Drosophila melanogaster: one gene and its partner. The gene in region 1 interacts genetically with each later gene. Each region holds a gene or a part of one and is shown on either strand. Other genes may lie near its edges.

Region 1 (9,375 bases):
GCAGATCGTTGATCTGTGATACCCACTCGAAACTTGCTACCAGCTTCCTCAGTTGAGTTCTGGATCCGTTTCGGATTCTGATTCTGATTCTGGATGTGACTGTGACTCTGGCTCTGATGCTGACTCCATTCCATTCGTTGCCGTGGCAGCTTTGCGCTGCGCCACTTCACCTTTCCGCCAAATGTAAACAAAAACGTTCAAAGTCAACTTTTGGGCAGGTGGCTCCCAGTCGAAGCCGCAGCTTCTGTCCACAGCTACAGCGACCGAGCCCCAAACAGATGACATGCAACGTTGTGGCAAAATACCGCGAAGGGCGGCGAGGCGAGGAGCGTTGATTGAGTTGCACCTGCCATTCGCAGAAACGAGCTGGACGAGATGCCAACGGGCTGAGAGGGGGTCAGTTGGATGCCCGCGTTATTTATGTGGATTTTTCGGCTCCGCAGAGCCAGCTCTTGATTCCGACTCCAACTCGCACTGGCACTGGCACTGGCACTCGCACTCGCAGTTGCCGCCGTCGTCTGAGCCTGTCTGACCTCGTCCTCGATTGCTGTTGACATTGTGCCTGAATTTCAATTTGATGTCCACGAGGCGGCAGCTCCTGTCTACCATAAATCTTGCTCCTCAAACTGCCTAGACTCTCCGGGTGCGTTTCGGATGGGATTGGATTGGATTGGATTGGAATGGATTGGATTGGATGAGGTTGGCTTGTCTGTCTTCTTGCACGGGCGTTGGGATTTGGGAGTTGCAAGTGGCGGTGAGTGTCTACTTCGTCCCCCAAAATCCGAAGGCACTAAGCTTGTGCCCCATTTTGGAGGCACATCTGCTTTATTGTGTTGCTGTATCTCTTGTATCGCCCATCGCCCGTAATTGTATAATTTAAGCGGAAATTAATTGACAGGTGCAATCATTCAGCTCTGATTATGCACAATTACTAATTGCAGTTAGCGGAACACAAAAAAGATGTTCTTAGTCTATGTGAATTGTATTACTTACGTACATTTTACTGTTTCATCCAAGTGTTTTATTCATTTTCCGATGTAATCAAGCATCTTTGATTTGCCAACGCTTCCTTGATTATGCATCATTAATAAGTGAAATATTGGGGGATTATACCCTGTACTTTTTTAGTAAAAGAGTAGGTTTGTATTTCTTAAATTAGGTGGGAAGTACAGGACTAATTGAGAATATCCTCAACAATTTCGATTAGTTGTACTCGATCAGCATGTTTCTGCTTTAGTTTTCTATTAAGTGCTTATTGCTAATAGGTATGCATTAGTCGACTAAACGCAAACAGCTGGCAAATGTTTTTGGTTCGCTTCAAGTCCTTCGAGTTGAATGCCGATTTGGAAATTCATGGACTTAGTCCTGCTAATCCAGTTGGATTGAATATAATACTCGCATGAGATGTGGAATCACAGACAATATGAATTATTACAAAATGCGTATGCTGCGCCTTCATATTTCATATTGGGGCAACTATCGATTGGTGGCAGTGGCAACATTCGAGTGGGAAAATTCGTTGACACAAGTCTTCTGCGGAGTGGGTATTAATTAAGGATTTTCTTCGAGTCTTAGTTGTAGTTGCAACCTTTCGCTTTGAATTGCCATATTTATGTGGAGCAAATATTGATTGGGCTGCCCCCCAAAAAACTCATCCAGCAGAGGATACATACATACACAAGCTCAACTCGCCCTGAGTTATTTGTGAAGAAAACGAGAAATTCATATATAATTTAGACATTTATTTTTGTTCAATTTTTCTCTCCTTATTTATTTATCTATAATTTTTTGCTATTTGCATTTCTTCTGTCCCTTGTCTCGTGCTGAACATTTCCGTTTCCTAGTTTGTTTTATTTTATTTTTTTGTTTTGTTTTTTTTTTTTCATCGGGTGGAGTGTGGATCCATTATTTTGGAAAATCGAGTATGCTATCTTGGGGTTTTGTGGCCCAAAAGGATTCTATTTTGGCTTACGCTTTGCTGGCCTTTATGCCAGATTAGCTGTTTTCATTCGGCGATTACTTTGAATATTTCTCTATTTGCGTACGATATATATATATATATATGTATATATATATGTGTATCGGTCAATATGTCAAGTATCTTGATAATCTGCTGGCTCGATTATTTATTGCCCTTAAATTGTGGGAATTAAAACCAAGCGAGCCGACAGCCAAAAACTGAAAGTAAAATAAAAATACAAAATGGGAAATGAAAACGCTTTTGCTTGTATTTTGTTATTACTGTTGTATTCTTGAAATGTTTTGATTTTTTATTTTCTTTGGCTTTTCGTGTGTATTTTTCAATTGGATATTTTTACAGTTGAATTGGTTTGTTTCTTCTCTCTCTTGTGTTGTTGTTGTTTTTTCGTGCTTGTTTGTGTGAATTTCACTAAATTATTAAATAAATAAATAAATAAATAGTTCGCTCAATTGACGAATTAATAAACCCTCGCTGCCCTACCATAAATAAATATAATTAGTAATACTTTCGAGTGTGTGTGTGTGTGTGTGTGTGTAGGGGATTACGATGCTCGATTTTGTAACGCATTAAGTGACTTTAGTATAATTTAATTTAATTTAACTCGATTTGCTTAATTGATCTGAATTGAATGGTTCTTTGCTGTGGTTTTCCATATTTTTTTTGTTGTTTTTGCTGTTGCTGTTGTTGTTGTTTGACTAGTGTGCGACTTAATAGTATTTACAATTTGAAACAATTTGTTAGGAGGGCTAGTTATACCTAAATATATATAAATTATAACACTAAATCCTACAATTCGGAGCACATTATGCTTATGGATGTATAAACAATTTGATACAGTTTGCTGATGCTTCGATTCGATTCATTCGTAGTAATTGCGGCCAATAAATACATAATTTAAGAAAACAGACAAACCATTAATTGAAAACATGGATAAATCATTTAAATCATAGCGAGAGGCGATTAGTTCTGTTTCTCCTCTTTGATTTTCCTCTTGATTTTTACTTGGTTTTTACACGCGAAATAAATTCAGTCTTTGGTTCTATCACAACATTTGTTTACACGTTTCGGCTTCGGTTTATGTTCTCCTCACTCCTCGCACTTTCTTTTTGTCCAGTGTATTTCTCTTGATTTGTTTTTTTTTTTTTTGAGTTTGTGTACTATGTTTCGGAACTGAAACGTTTAACTGCAAACGGTAACGATAACGAGATAATGCTAACGAAAAGCAAAAGCCAAACGAATATCGAATTAGTTTTGAACTAAATCGTTGAGTGAACTTTTCTTTTCCACCAACTCTCTGTCTCTCGATCTCTCCTGAAGCTCAAGCAGATTCCGAATCCCTGCGAGCATGCTGACGACTCCGAACCTCAAACTTAGGACACTCCCAGGTCGTGCAACAGATGCTGGGTAATCACCTCACCCTGCTCCTCCATCAGCTGAGCGGTCACCGTGTTGATCAGGTTGAAAACGATGGCGAAGACGGTGAAGGCACAGTAGACGCCCAACGCTAGCCACCAGATGAGCTGCTCGTACTCTCGGTGACCGAAGTTCTTTAGCACCAGAAAGCCGATCGTTAGTCCTGCCAGGGCTCCCGTCAGGTGGGCAATGTACGACACCTGGGGACCCTTGGCGAAGGCGCTTCCATCGAAGTATTGGGTGTAGAGAGCATAGCCCAGATCGCAGGAGACTGCAAATGGAAGAACAGAAGGGATTCAAGTTAGTTAAGTTAAACATAGAAGAAAAAGATGTGACAAATTCGTGTTTAGGTAGGATAGATTAGGTTCTATAGATTCTAGTCATAAGGTGTGGGGAAACTCACCAAAGATGACAACGGATCCGAGTTGCGTGGATGCGCTCTTCATGTGCGCATAGTTCAGTGTAATGTTGGCCAGATGTGCGGCCAACAGGGCATAGACGCCACCGCTGGCGCCCACCAGGAAGACCTCCGAGTCGACGACACTGGTGCCCAGGGATCCGGCAAAAACGCCCGCCATGTAGATCACGCCGATCCTGGCCGTGCCGTGCATCACCTCCAGGGGAATGCCAAAAAACAGCTGGATGACGATATTGAAGCCCAGGTGGAACCAGTTGGCGTGCAGGAACATGTAGCTAAAGAAGCGCCACACCTGCAGACGCCGGTCCGGCCGATAGACCAGCACCGAATCCGACGGAATCGGAACGGGTAGCCCGAAATTCTGGGCGGGCATTGTGTAGCGGTCGTAGGCGAAGATGGCAATCTAAAATGGACAGAGACGCAAAGAATTGGGGGTTAGTTCTGGGCTCTCGCTCTGATTTATGTTGTTGCTGTCTGGCACGCGACCACGTTCCAAATAAAGTCTTATGAGAATGCTTAGGGGCGAGTCCTGCCAACTTGGCAGGGCTTCAAACTCACTAAACTCATACGCCCCGTGGGCCGCCCTGTTTATTTGATATTCGTGCTAGTTTCTATACGAAGCAAATTATTTCCAATACGAATGTAAGGGGTCATGTAAAAGTGTATTGTTTATTTTAAACTCAATGTTCCAAGTTACCAATTTCGCTATCAAACTAACTATCATTTCCATCTTCTCATCTTCCACTGTTTTTCACATGACAATTTTTGGTCTGCCCTTAAAAAATAAAAAAAAGAAAAAACTACGAACGGTCTGGTTTCATAAACTTTTCTGTTCGCTTTTTTTCCTTCGGCTGTTTTGTTGTTCAACTTGTTTACAATCGATTTTCGGGGGCGCCAGCGAGTCAGACGCAGAAAACGAAACACGAAAAGCGAGGAAAACTCTCGGAAAACTTCCGCCCTTCGTCGCCGCTTTCCGCCCCCTATATCATTTTTATCGCTCTTGGGATGAAAGTTTGCGGCTTCTTTGATTTAATGGGTTGAGTTACTGAGTTCGCTGTGTGTGTGCTTACCTCAATGATGGAGATCACTAGGATGAACCAGGGCCAGTGCTGGCGGTGGACGTACTTCAGCAGGCCGATATCCTCCGACTCCGGAAGTGGCGTGGCCGGGATGGCCTCGCGTTGCATGTAGATGTGCTCGCCTTGGCGGGTGCAGCAGGTGCTGCTCGCCGTGCTGCAATCGGTGTCGTACGACGAGGAGTTGGAGGAACTGGAGCACGCGGCGGGAATGTCAATGATGGTCTCCTTGGCGGCGGTGGCATGCTCCTCCTCCTGCGACGCCTCCTTCTCCTTCTCCTGGCCCAAATCCACCTTGGTTTCGTTTACATTCTGCGTTAAGTTCTCCATGCTGGCGCCGTTGAAGAAATTCTGGAGAAAGAGAGGAGCGCATAAAGTGTGTAATTAATTAACTTGAACCGAACAATAAACAAAAATCAATTAAGTGCATAAGTTATTCATAAAACGCAGCACAAAACAAGAGCAATTACAACACTTCAGAAAAACCAGAGTGTGTGGGGAAATGCAGCAGAAATAAAAGAAAAGCGAAGGAAAAGCCTGCTTCTTTGTGGGTAAGAATTTTGTTTATGGCCTGGGACACGGATTCCGATGCCTGCAACTTCCTGGCTGCTTTTCCCCGAAGGGAAAACTGGGTCAGCTTGTGTGAGCTAACCATAAAATTTGATGGGCCAAGTTTGCTTTTGTGGCCCGAAATTAGCTGGACAAAATTGAAGATGTAGCTTGTGTAGCATCTACGCCGTTACATAAACTGCACTTTCAGCCCTGAAATCATCTTCGCTAATGGCCAACTAATCAGCTAATGGCCAGGCATTATTGTAATTCATTGCCCAGAGACATTTCCTCACAAATTATGTTAATCGCATTCGATTCAATTACAGTCACAGCACAAATCTTCTTAAATTCCCCAAACAACTGTTCGTCGCAACAAGGAAAAAAAATAACAAATTCATTGCCTTGCTCAACAAAAAAAAAAAAAATAAACTTAAAAAAACGCGTTTCTCCCACTCACACTCATTGTGTTCGCATATGCCCCCTCTCTCTCTTTCGCCTCAAGTCGCATTGCACACACGCACCGTTGTTGCTTTTGTGTCTGCTACCTACACTGCTCGAAAAAGTGAGTGGGTGCCGTGCCTTGGCTGGCGCTCTTTTCATGTTCTTCATTTCGGTTGCCTAGCAATTTCAATAAGGCACGAAATCGCAGTCGGCCGCTTATTAATTAATTTATTTATTAACTTTAATTGCAGACTGCACCGAATGTCCATGCGAGCATGAAGAAGAGATGTCGAAAGCGGGCTTTAAGACATAATGAATTAATTCATTCGGCCTTCTTTTCATCATTTCTTTCTTCTCATTTTTTTTTTTTGTCTGTTTGGTCAGAAACATAGTTTCACATGGCCCGCGGTGTAATTTGCATTTTTTATGCTTTCTGCTGCACTCGCACCCCTAAAAAAAAAAACGGGCAAAGGGTGCGAGCGAGAGAGATAGAGCGAGCGGGCACACAGGTTGAACAAACTCATTACGCCTCTAAGTTGAAATGCTTTTGTTTTGCCGCTGTGACAATTTCTATTGCAATTTGCACATTTCTTGCATATCCCTTGTGGCTTGTAGCTTGTATCTCGCAACTCATATTTTGTATCTTGTATCTTTTAGCTCTCGCGCATTTTCTCATTAGGGTCGGGGGCTTACCTTAGGTTTTTCTGCCTGTCGCAATGTTTATAATCCAAAATGCGTGGGTTTCTTGTAATCCAAATGTCTTTAGTTAGCTGGCATATTCGCACGTTTTTCACTCGCTTTTTTCGGCTCGCACATTGGTAACTTAGTTTTGCTGCTCGTAAATCCAGGAGCTTGTATTCAGATATTCTTGAGATATATATTCTCTGCTTGCACCCACACACACGACAATTTGAATATTTCTTTCTTTCAGTTTCAATTTCAGTTTCGAGTCGCAGTCCGACTTTCTCAGTTTGATGATCTCGCGCTCGCGGCTCGCACGCAACTGACTTTCGAAAGGCAAGGCAGCCGGCCTTTATAAGTGCTCGCTGTGCGGTGCAGTATAAGAGAGCCACTTCGAACATGTTGTGTTTTGGTTCGGCCGTATAAGTGTTGCATGGCACATCCGGATCTTGTCTTGTGTGGGTGGGTGGGGTGTGCGCACTGCAGTCACTCGACTGCTGCAGCTCGAGGCGAGCGGTTCGAAGGTTTTTCGTCGCTGGTTATTCACTGGTTTCCCCCATCTGCCGCCTTGCCACATAACGGTGAATGACTCATCCAGACGGGCCAGCACTTCTTGCCAATGCCACTGACTAACAAATGCGTCGTCTTCTGTCTTCTGTCTTCTCGCCGATCTCCAGCGATCTGCGCTTTGTCATGGCCTACTACGCAGATCTGAGCTCTAATCTCTGCAATGTTGCGAAATTCTAGCAAGGCCTTTGCGTTTAATTGCCTTTCAGCAAAACCGACTTTTATCTCATTTTATATTATTACTAGTAATATATATTAACGTACTAGAAGAGGTTTAAGCTCATTTTAGTTGTATTTGTAAAGGTACCAAGTCCATTGTTTTGCTGAGTTTCCCGTCGATGCCTTTAAACAAAGACAAGAAAGTCAAACAAATTGTTAACACAATTAAAGATGATGAAATCGGTAGTAGCAGTCGCTTTTTCTTTAGCTCCGCACTTTCGAATAGTTTCCAGAAATAACTTCAATGTCACAATTGCTCACAATGGTAATGTAAATTAGTTTCTAAACTAAAAAAACTAGCAAAACTATTTGCTTGCTTAGAAATAGTTTTAAAATTCCTCTATTGATACGTAACCGTTCAATAGCTAAAACATTGCTTCTATAATTCTGTTGTTTTTAAGGGAACGTGCCACTGCAAGTGGCCAAAAATGCAAATAAAGTATATCGGCTCAGCAATGCAGAACATGTCATGGAATCGAATTCGAAACCGAGCCCCGTCCTGATTCCCCTTGATTCCCCGATTCCCCGTAGAAGATCATCATTGTCAGGGGTTTCGAATTTCACACCTTTTCCAGCGAGAGCTCCCTCGGAGGCGTTGAGCGAGCAGATAGAAATCGGTAGCAAAAATAAATATTTATACAAATTATTAGGCAGCCTGAGCCGTTGCAGTCACGAGTTCGCGGGAAAGGTCACCACGGCATGTTGCACAAAAGGAGTAGCTTTCGGCTTCCTGGCCGAAAGGATCGAGACGACGTGGTTACGTGTTTTGCATGATAAGCTGGGAATTTACACAGATCTAATAGATAGATATACCCATCCTGGCCAGTCATCCTCATCGGCGGCATGAAAACTCCCGCATGAAAAGTGAAAATATTTTCACTGGGCGCAAAAGAGAGGCGAAACAGATTCAGAGTCCTCGTCCTCGTCCACTGAGATTTATGATGACTTTTTAACATGTGCGTGCAACAGGTAAGCAGATACGAAAACACAGTTGCTGCACTACATGCCCATGACCAGGCACGTCATCAGCTCGGAGTTTCTCAGCTCATCTTCATCGTAAATCCTTTTTTCCCACGTTCCCTCAGGTCGAGTTCCTCCATCCTCCATTGCTGCGTTTTCATTGTGCCAGACACGCATTGCCAGCACTCCACGGACATGGACCCACTGGCACTGGCAAGGTCAGCCACCGTACCAAAGCAATCTCAGCCACCCAAAACACTCGAGCTCGAATTCAGGTAACCGAGTGGGCGTGGGTAGGACGTGGGCTTTTCCCACGCAGGACAGGACGTTGATTCCTGGCCCGTCGCCCGGGAATTTCCCCCAAAACATGTGCTCAACATATGCGAGTGCCTCATGGCATCGCGAATCAGGAAATTCCGCCCGCCACTTGCGCTTCCCGCCGCACAGCAAGGTGTCCTTTTTCCGCTTCCCAGAGTTTCGTTTCGCGACTTTTTGTTGCAGCCGCACTTGTCTTCCGCAAGTTGCGCCAAATGTTTCGCGATGTGTGTTTTTCCCACCGCATGTTTTCCCATTTTTCCATCCTGCCCAAGGATCTTAGCACTAATCATCCGACAGGGGCGCGTCTTTCAAGCAGCTTCTGAGAAGGCAGATGCAAATGGGATCGTGCGATCTGGATGATGCCCTGAGTCCTGAAAGCGACTCACTTAACTGACTCCGCAGCAAAAAGGGGAATTAAAATTCGTATCAAACTGTTGTTTTAATCATTTTGATTTTGAGCAGAGGAAAAGCTTGCGAAATAGAATATAACGACAACTTCTTGAACAAATTTGCAAACAAACAAATAACAATGGAAATGCCAGAAGTGACGGGCGTTGAAGATACCAAAGGGGCGAAATACAAACTTGACGGGCCAATTGCAAATGGCAATGGGAGTGGAATTGAAAAATTGATTGAGAATGAAGGCCAATAATAATGGAGTAAGTAATGAGACTGTCCACAACAGTCGAAGGAATCGTGGGAGTTGTGTCTCCCTTCGCATAAAAGGAGCAAAGAGTCCTGGCCAAGAA
Region 2 (6,728 bases), on another chromosome or scaffold:
ATTCTTTCGGATGATTCAACACACACACACACACACGATTTGCGTATGGAAAGGTTCCCGAGTTATTTGCATAAGACAATTCACAGTTTTCGGACCACATCTATTAGCACATTTGCGTATTGTTGGCCGATCGCTTGTTTGCGATCGCCGTAGTTAAAATGATTCGGATTCGTGGACGCATCGCCCTCTGCCGTCTGACCCCGTGCAATCGAGTTGAACTTAGCAATTATCGCAGCCCACATCGATCATATCGCTGATATCCTTTGTGTCATTCTGCCGAACTGCGGTGCTGCCAAACTGTGTCTCCGTCTCCACCCATATTTCGGTGTTTATCTTTAAATTTAGCACTGTGACGATAATACAAAGCAACACAAATTACTTCTGTTGCGCTCTCACTCAGCGATTTAAATCGGGCAGACTGGGGGTTAAAAATACAAGCAGATGGAATTACCATCACCCGAGTACGTCAGTGAAAATTTTGCACCTTTTTGCATCATTTACAGTTACACTTACAGCAGCGAATGCGAATGTGGCGTATTTGTATTTACCATACGGAGGAAGCTGCGCGCCATTCATGAAAGCGCCGCTAAGGTCAACAAACAGATTTACATGCACACACGAATATGTGCAGCGTATTCGTACACAATATCCGAATACATATACAAATCCCCCCCTCAGTGTTTTAGTCGTTTCGTTTGTCACAGGTTTATTTTGCTTTTCGTGTGGCAACGCACCTGGAAAGGCGGCAGCGAAACGACTGGTATTGGGGTTACGAGGTGGAGCGCGGAAGCAGGGGAACGAGGCCTTCAATTAATTAACTCAAAAGTCGGCAAGATACTTATTGAATTATCGAATGAGCTGCTTGCCCCTACCCTAACCGCCCACTCGCAAGCAGTGTGTGAAGTAGTAGTACAGTCTATTCAAAACATAATATTTTTTGAACAGTTCAAACTGTTAAAATAAGCATATAAACGATATGTCAAGTTGGAGAACTGGACGGGGAAAAGTACTAGTTGGGGAGAGTCTGGGATAGAATTGTAAAATTTCCATGGAGTTACAACCCCAGAACAAAGCCCTCCCCCCCATAATTGGGCCTTTCCACTGAGAGCATCTTGTAGTCGGCCGACGTTATGAATTTGCACAAATTAAACGCTTTTATTTGATCAGTAGCCACAGCTCACGGTTGTGCAACGGACAAATAAACGGAAATATGCAAAACAGAAGGCAGCGCTCGAAATCCATTACGGGAAATGTAATTTCATAAATCGTTAATCAGCCTTATGGCGAGAAGAAAAACCATCGGAAGGTTAATAGTTCTACAAGGCGGAGGGCAGAGGACGGCGGTGCCCCATTGTTGACCTAGTGAGTGTGACAAGTGAAATCCGGAAATCACGCAGCTTAAGCTGTCAAAGCTATTGGCACATCATCTTCAGATCATTTGGCATGATGTGCGTTTTAGGATAACGACGAAAAGATCGCCCTAAAGCAGGATACCTATAAAAGCTGAGCATAAATTAGAAAAACAAAGATCAAGTTAACGAGCCAATCAACACGTTCAGCGATTATGAATCCGTTGCGATAAAAATCAAAATAAATAAATAAGCAACAACCGAAACCGACTGCACTACCAATCCGAGCTCAACTAAAAGTCAAAGATAATTTATGGGACATAATAATAGTCCAGCAGATACATATGCGATTGTTTTCTGGGTGTACTGTGCGAATCGAGATCGCCAAGATGGGGCCAGCCCACACAAACAATCGGACGGCACATGGCACAGCCGGGCAGATAAACACCAAGATCAGACACGGAGTGGGATGGAATCTTTGGGGAATGTGGACGACGGACAGCGCAACAGCGGGACATGGGTAAACATTCCGGGCGCGAGTGAAGAGATAATTCCGATCTGGCAGTGGGCCAAGATACGATGTCTGCAGTGGGCAATTCGCCGAACTCTCCCGGTTCTACAAGTGCGTAATTTAGCCAGTGCCTAACCAATAACTCAATCTTCAGCTCTAAATGAAAGAACCAATATCGAAACACAACTTGACAACGGGCCAATTGTGTGGGGGGGGTTGATATGTTGATATGTGACCATATTTGAGTGGCGATCTGAGCTGGGCCCCCTGCCATTTGCCATTCCACTCCCTTCACTTCACTTCGGCATTTGACAGTCGGAAATTCATTCATATTAGAACGTCAATTTACGATTGCTTGTTTTCGAGTCGAATGCTTTGCGTAAATATTTACTCATTTTGCGTGGCAATTCTGAACACATGACAGTATGTGCTGCGCTGATTTTTTTTTTTTTTTGCTTTGTTGCGGCGTCAACTGCCTGTGATTGCCTGCCTTATTAGGGTTAATGTTGATGGGCAGCAGATTGTCTCCAGATTTCCCGCGAATCATCTGCTACTCCGCGACATGTGACTGACAGGCGGGGCGACATACTACGATGCGATGGTAGCTCAAAATACCATTTCACCTGCTACGGGGTATCGTTTAGTTGGCAGCCTGACAACTTCATTACTCGCACTCCAATAACAATTAGTGCCTAATTTCGCACGCGCCCCAAATTAGCAGAACGCTGCTCTTTTTCTAACACTCTGGACTGGACTGCTGTCGTTTTTTTTGGGCGACCTGAACTTACGTGTAACCATGGAGCTGGACGCGCATGGTGGCCAAGAGGGACAGTGTGCTGTTGGAGCAGCTGGCGCCGCCGAAGGCGGCTGGGAACTGGGGCGGTGTGGCTGTCCAGGAGGTGGGCGTGGCCGGGTAGGAAGCCTGCGGGCTGGGTGTAAGACGGTGCAGAGATTCCGTCGATGTGGAGGCGGAGGCAGCGGCGGAGGGTTGGGCGGAGAGAGGACGACGTCTGCGCTGCAGTCGGTTGTCTCGATTACGTTGCGCGTCAGCGCCCTTGGCCACGCCCTTTATGATCTGGGCCAGCTCGTCGTGGGTCATACAGTTCTTGCAGGCCGGCTCCTGGGCCTCGGGTGTCTCCGTTGGTGGGGTGACCTTTGCTTTCCGACCCTTGCTGGCCTTGAACTTGCCGCTCCTTTCGCGCTCCTCCGAGCGTCTTCCCTTGCTTCCGTAGTGCGCCTGTATGGCTCTTTCGTACTCAAAGTTTCGCTGATTGTTGTAGGCATTGTTGTTGTTTAGCGTATTGTTATTGTTATTGTTGATATTGTTGTTGTTGTAGACTTGTTTCTCTTGCAGCTTGTGATTGACCACATTGCCCAGCGAGCTGGACAACTTTTCCAGACATTTGTTGAACAGCATTTTCTTCACACTCGTTTTCTCGCACACACCAAAACAAAAAGAAGCTTAGATAGTAGTATTCCACTGCGGAAAAATGCGTCTCGGCTGGGGTGTTTTTTTATTATTTTTTTTTTATTTTGTTATTGTTTTTGTTTTATGTAACAACTTGCCCACACACACGAACACACACTGAAAGCACAAAAACTAGAATTCTTGGTTTTTGTTTTTTGCCGCTGTTTGTTGTGCTTCTCTGTTTGCTTTTTATTGATCTTAGTCAGCTCGATTAGGGGAAATGTCTACAGTTTGTCAAATAGAGTGCTGTTTACCCCGCATTCGTTTATTATTGCACAATCTTCTTGAGAGCCAGCAACAGCTTCTTTTCGTACGACTTGACATTGATGGCCTTGGCCACGGTGGTGCTGCTGCTGTTGATGGTGCTGGTGGGTTTGACCTCTGCTGGGGATGCGGCCTGCTCGTCGAGTCGCGATTGTGCCGCCATCAAATGCTCCAGGACAAATGTGGCTGAAGGCATAATTTTCGCGCTTTGCCTTCGAATAACAAAAACACTCGATGGAACTTGTACTGGCGCCCAGTAGAAATGAAACGAACTGCTTGCCGCTCGACGACGAACGGCGACTGCTTGCGAGCTGAGCTGCTAACCCGTTGGATCACAACTCGAGAATGAAGCGCCTGCTGCCGAGTCTGAAGCTTTTTGCCTCGGATTCGAAATCGCAATCGGAATCGAAATCGGATTCTTGACGTTGTCTCAGCGCGGCTCCTCTCTTTGCGATTCGATTCTTCCGCTCTCTCTTAGTGGCTATATCTCTCGGACGGGAGCTGTGGCCTGGTGGTGTTCTAAGCGCTGGGGTATGAATGAATCTGAATCTTGACTGGCTGCGGACGGCGCTTTTTGTTTTTAAATCCAGCCGGCGCTCTGGTTAGCCCTTCCTGTCGATCTCGTGGGTGGGTGTTTTTATTTATGGGCTTTATTTACTGTCAGCGAGCCAGAAGTCACAAACAAATACAAAAAAAAACACAGTAAATAAAACGGAGCGAAAGACGTAACTTTGAAATTGATTGGCAGTGGGTGTGTGCACAGCTTTCCCCTGGGCTCCTGTTTCAGTATCATCAAACTGCTTGGGCCCCTCAGCGGGCGCCACTTAATTGTAGCCATCCTGTGGACGCCACTTACGGTTTATTCAGAAAGCGAAAGCACTTTGAATTGCAATCAACATTGTAAAAAATTACACTTTTACTTTTCATTTACTTTCAATTAAGTGCTAGAGCCAGGCTAATACCTATAAATATGTATAGCGGGCTCCACTCTATGTTTATTTCGTAATGACTGTACTCCTGGATGAGTCATGGAGTTCATCGCAATCAGAATCCGAATCATACACATTTCGAAAAGCAGGCACATAAGATTAATTCCAATCCGAAAATGGTCATTTCGTGATATGAGTGTGTTGTTGGCTTGTAAGAAAGCAAATACAAAAAGCGCTTTTAGCGCCGTCCGTTGCCTGCCACCGGAAATGAAACTGAAGCCGCACAGCAACTACTGTGGCGGCCATCTAGGCAAGGAACTGGGTTTGCTGGGGGGCAGGTGGGTTGGTGGGCAGGTGGGCAGGTTGGTAGTTGGGTAAGTGGGAGCTAGAAGCGAGCAGTGCCAAAGCTCTCTTACAGCGCAGGCGCAGACGTCAGAGGTGCGAACGTGCGCAGAATATCTTTTTTTTTTTTTTGGCCAGCAAAACAAAATCGTTCGACGTGCGACAGCCTGCGAACTGCGATCTAGCAACACTTTACTTCCAGCCTCGTATTCATGCCTCCCAACGATGACGAACTATTTTTTTTTTTTCCAACATTTCGTCATTGTTTTTTCGCTGGAAACCAACTAGAACTTGTTACCCAAACCACATTCAAAATCCACTCAATGGAAATTGTCTCCGAAGTGTTCGATCAAAATTGAAAATGCTCAGCTCAAACCAGTCGGGGAAACCCCATGTAGCTATGCATGCATGCATCAATGCAAACAGGATGTTCCAGGCCAGGTGGACCAGATCCGTGGAAACCACATGGGGCTTCTGGGCGCAGTTAGGTGTCGGTTAAGAATATTAGTCATTGCAATGGCAAATGCAAGACGAGAAGTGCATTAAAAGTGAGTAGAGATGATTTGAGCTACCTGATTGCTATCGATACAGAATTAAGAGCGAGGCCAACATTGGCCATTCGCAAGTTTAAGTTCTTAGAAATGATCGGGTAACGCAATTTAGAAGTGGCATTGACCAATAGCCTACCCAACGTGTTTACATTACGTATGGAATTACTAAAAGTTCCGGCGAAGTAGTGAGTGCCGTGAGTGCCGCCCTACCCAGAAATAAACTTGATCGGTACCAGTTGCCAGAGCGACAGCCCAGTCCCAGTATCCCCAGTGCTCCATTCCTGAGCTCCGCGACCTTGGCTATCCCGATTTCGTTGCTGGAGACCCAGACCGCATTTGGGCACAGCCAAAACCATTCGTAGGTGCGATGGGGAGTGGGCCAGAAATAAACATAATTTATTGTTCAGTCGGAGGCGGGGGATGGTTAGTATGCTAGGCACACAGCTACATATGTGCCGACCACTGATTGTTCGCCACTCCGAATTGGGATTGAGATTGAGATTTGGTCTCGGGACCCAGGGATGGCAGCCAGCGGAGCCGAAGCCAAAGCCCAATCCGTAAGTGAAGCGTGCCGGACCGAATGCGCGGCGACAGCTCCTCGAAATGGGTTATTCAGTCGCCAAAAGCCAATAGCCGATAGCCAATAGCCAATTGGCAATCGCAAATCGATTGTGGGTCGCTGCGGGGACCACTGTACAGACGTGTTCGCACTAAATCAGCCAAAAACCAACAGAACTGTTTTGCGGCAAATGCCAGAGAGTATAGTTTATGGGCCATTATACCGGGCATTTGTGAGCTTGGTTATATGGTAAATTTTAAAATGAGTACTTTGCGACCCCACCCAGAAAGGGGTAAATCAAAAATAGACGGGAAGAGGCAATTAGGAGAACTACTTATATTATTTGTAAATAATTTACAAATCATAAATTCACCGCCGGTGGGCGTGGGCTGCATTTTTTTTTTTTTTTTTTTAGCTAAAACTCAGCTTGTTAACAAGAAATCATACTGTTTGCTGACAATGCAGGATTCGTGGCACCAACTCAAGCACCGAAATAATGTGTAAAAAGTTTTATAGGATTATTGCATCCTGCACAAACATGTTGCGTTTCCCAATCTCCAAGCCTAGAGAGACGAGCCCAGTTTTAGTTGTAGCCAGGTGGGCTTCCCCATAGCGGCCGAGATTTATGATACTGCTCGATTTTTGCCATGCTCCACCAGCCAAAAATATATACCGAGATTTACGATCAGTGTCGTAATTCATACTATTAGATGGAATGCTACGTGAGTGCTTCCATGTAACACTTTTTTGTAAGC

What was found. A genetic interaction does not mean that the proteins touch.
Region 2: of rho (region 1) and csw, changing one suppresses a phenotype caused by changing the other (phenotypic suppression), as found in Drosophila melanogaster (2 studies listed by BioGRID).

The regions. Positions count from the first base shown.
Region 1 is NT_037436.4:1,461,330-1,470,704, reverse strand, and holds rho (rhomboid), read right to left. Parts: upstream 6,895-9,375; 5' UTR 6,575-6,894; intron 5,240-6,574; 5' UTR 5,219-5,239; coding exon 4,883-5,218; intron 4,216-4,882; coding exon 3,798-4,215; intron 3,666-3,797; coding exon 3,352-3,665; 3' UTR 1,761-3,351; downstream 1-1,760.
Region 2 is NC_004354.4:2,099,696-2,106,423, reverse strand, and holds the start of csw (corkscrew), read right to left. Parts: upstream 4,136-6,728; 5' UTR 3,278-4,135; coding exon 2,649-3,277; intron 1-2,648. UniProt on the Drosophila melanogaster protein: Required in all receptor tyrosine kinase signaling pathways. Functions downstream of the receptor tyrosine kinase torso, acting in concert with D-Raf via tailless.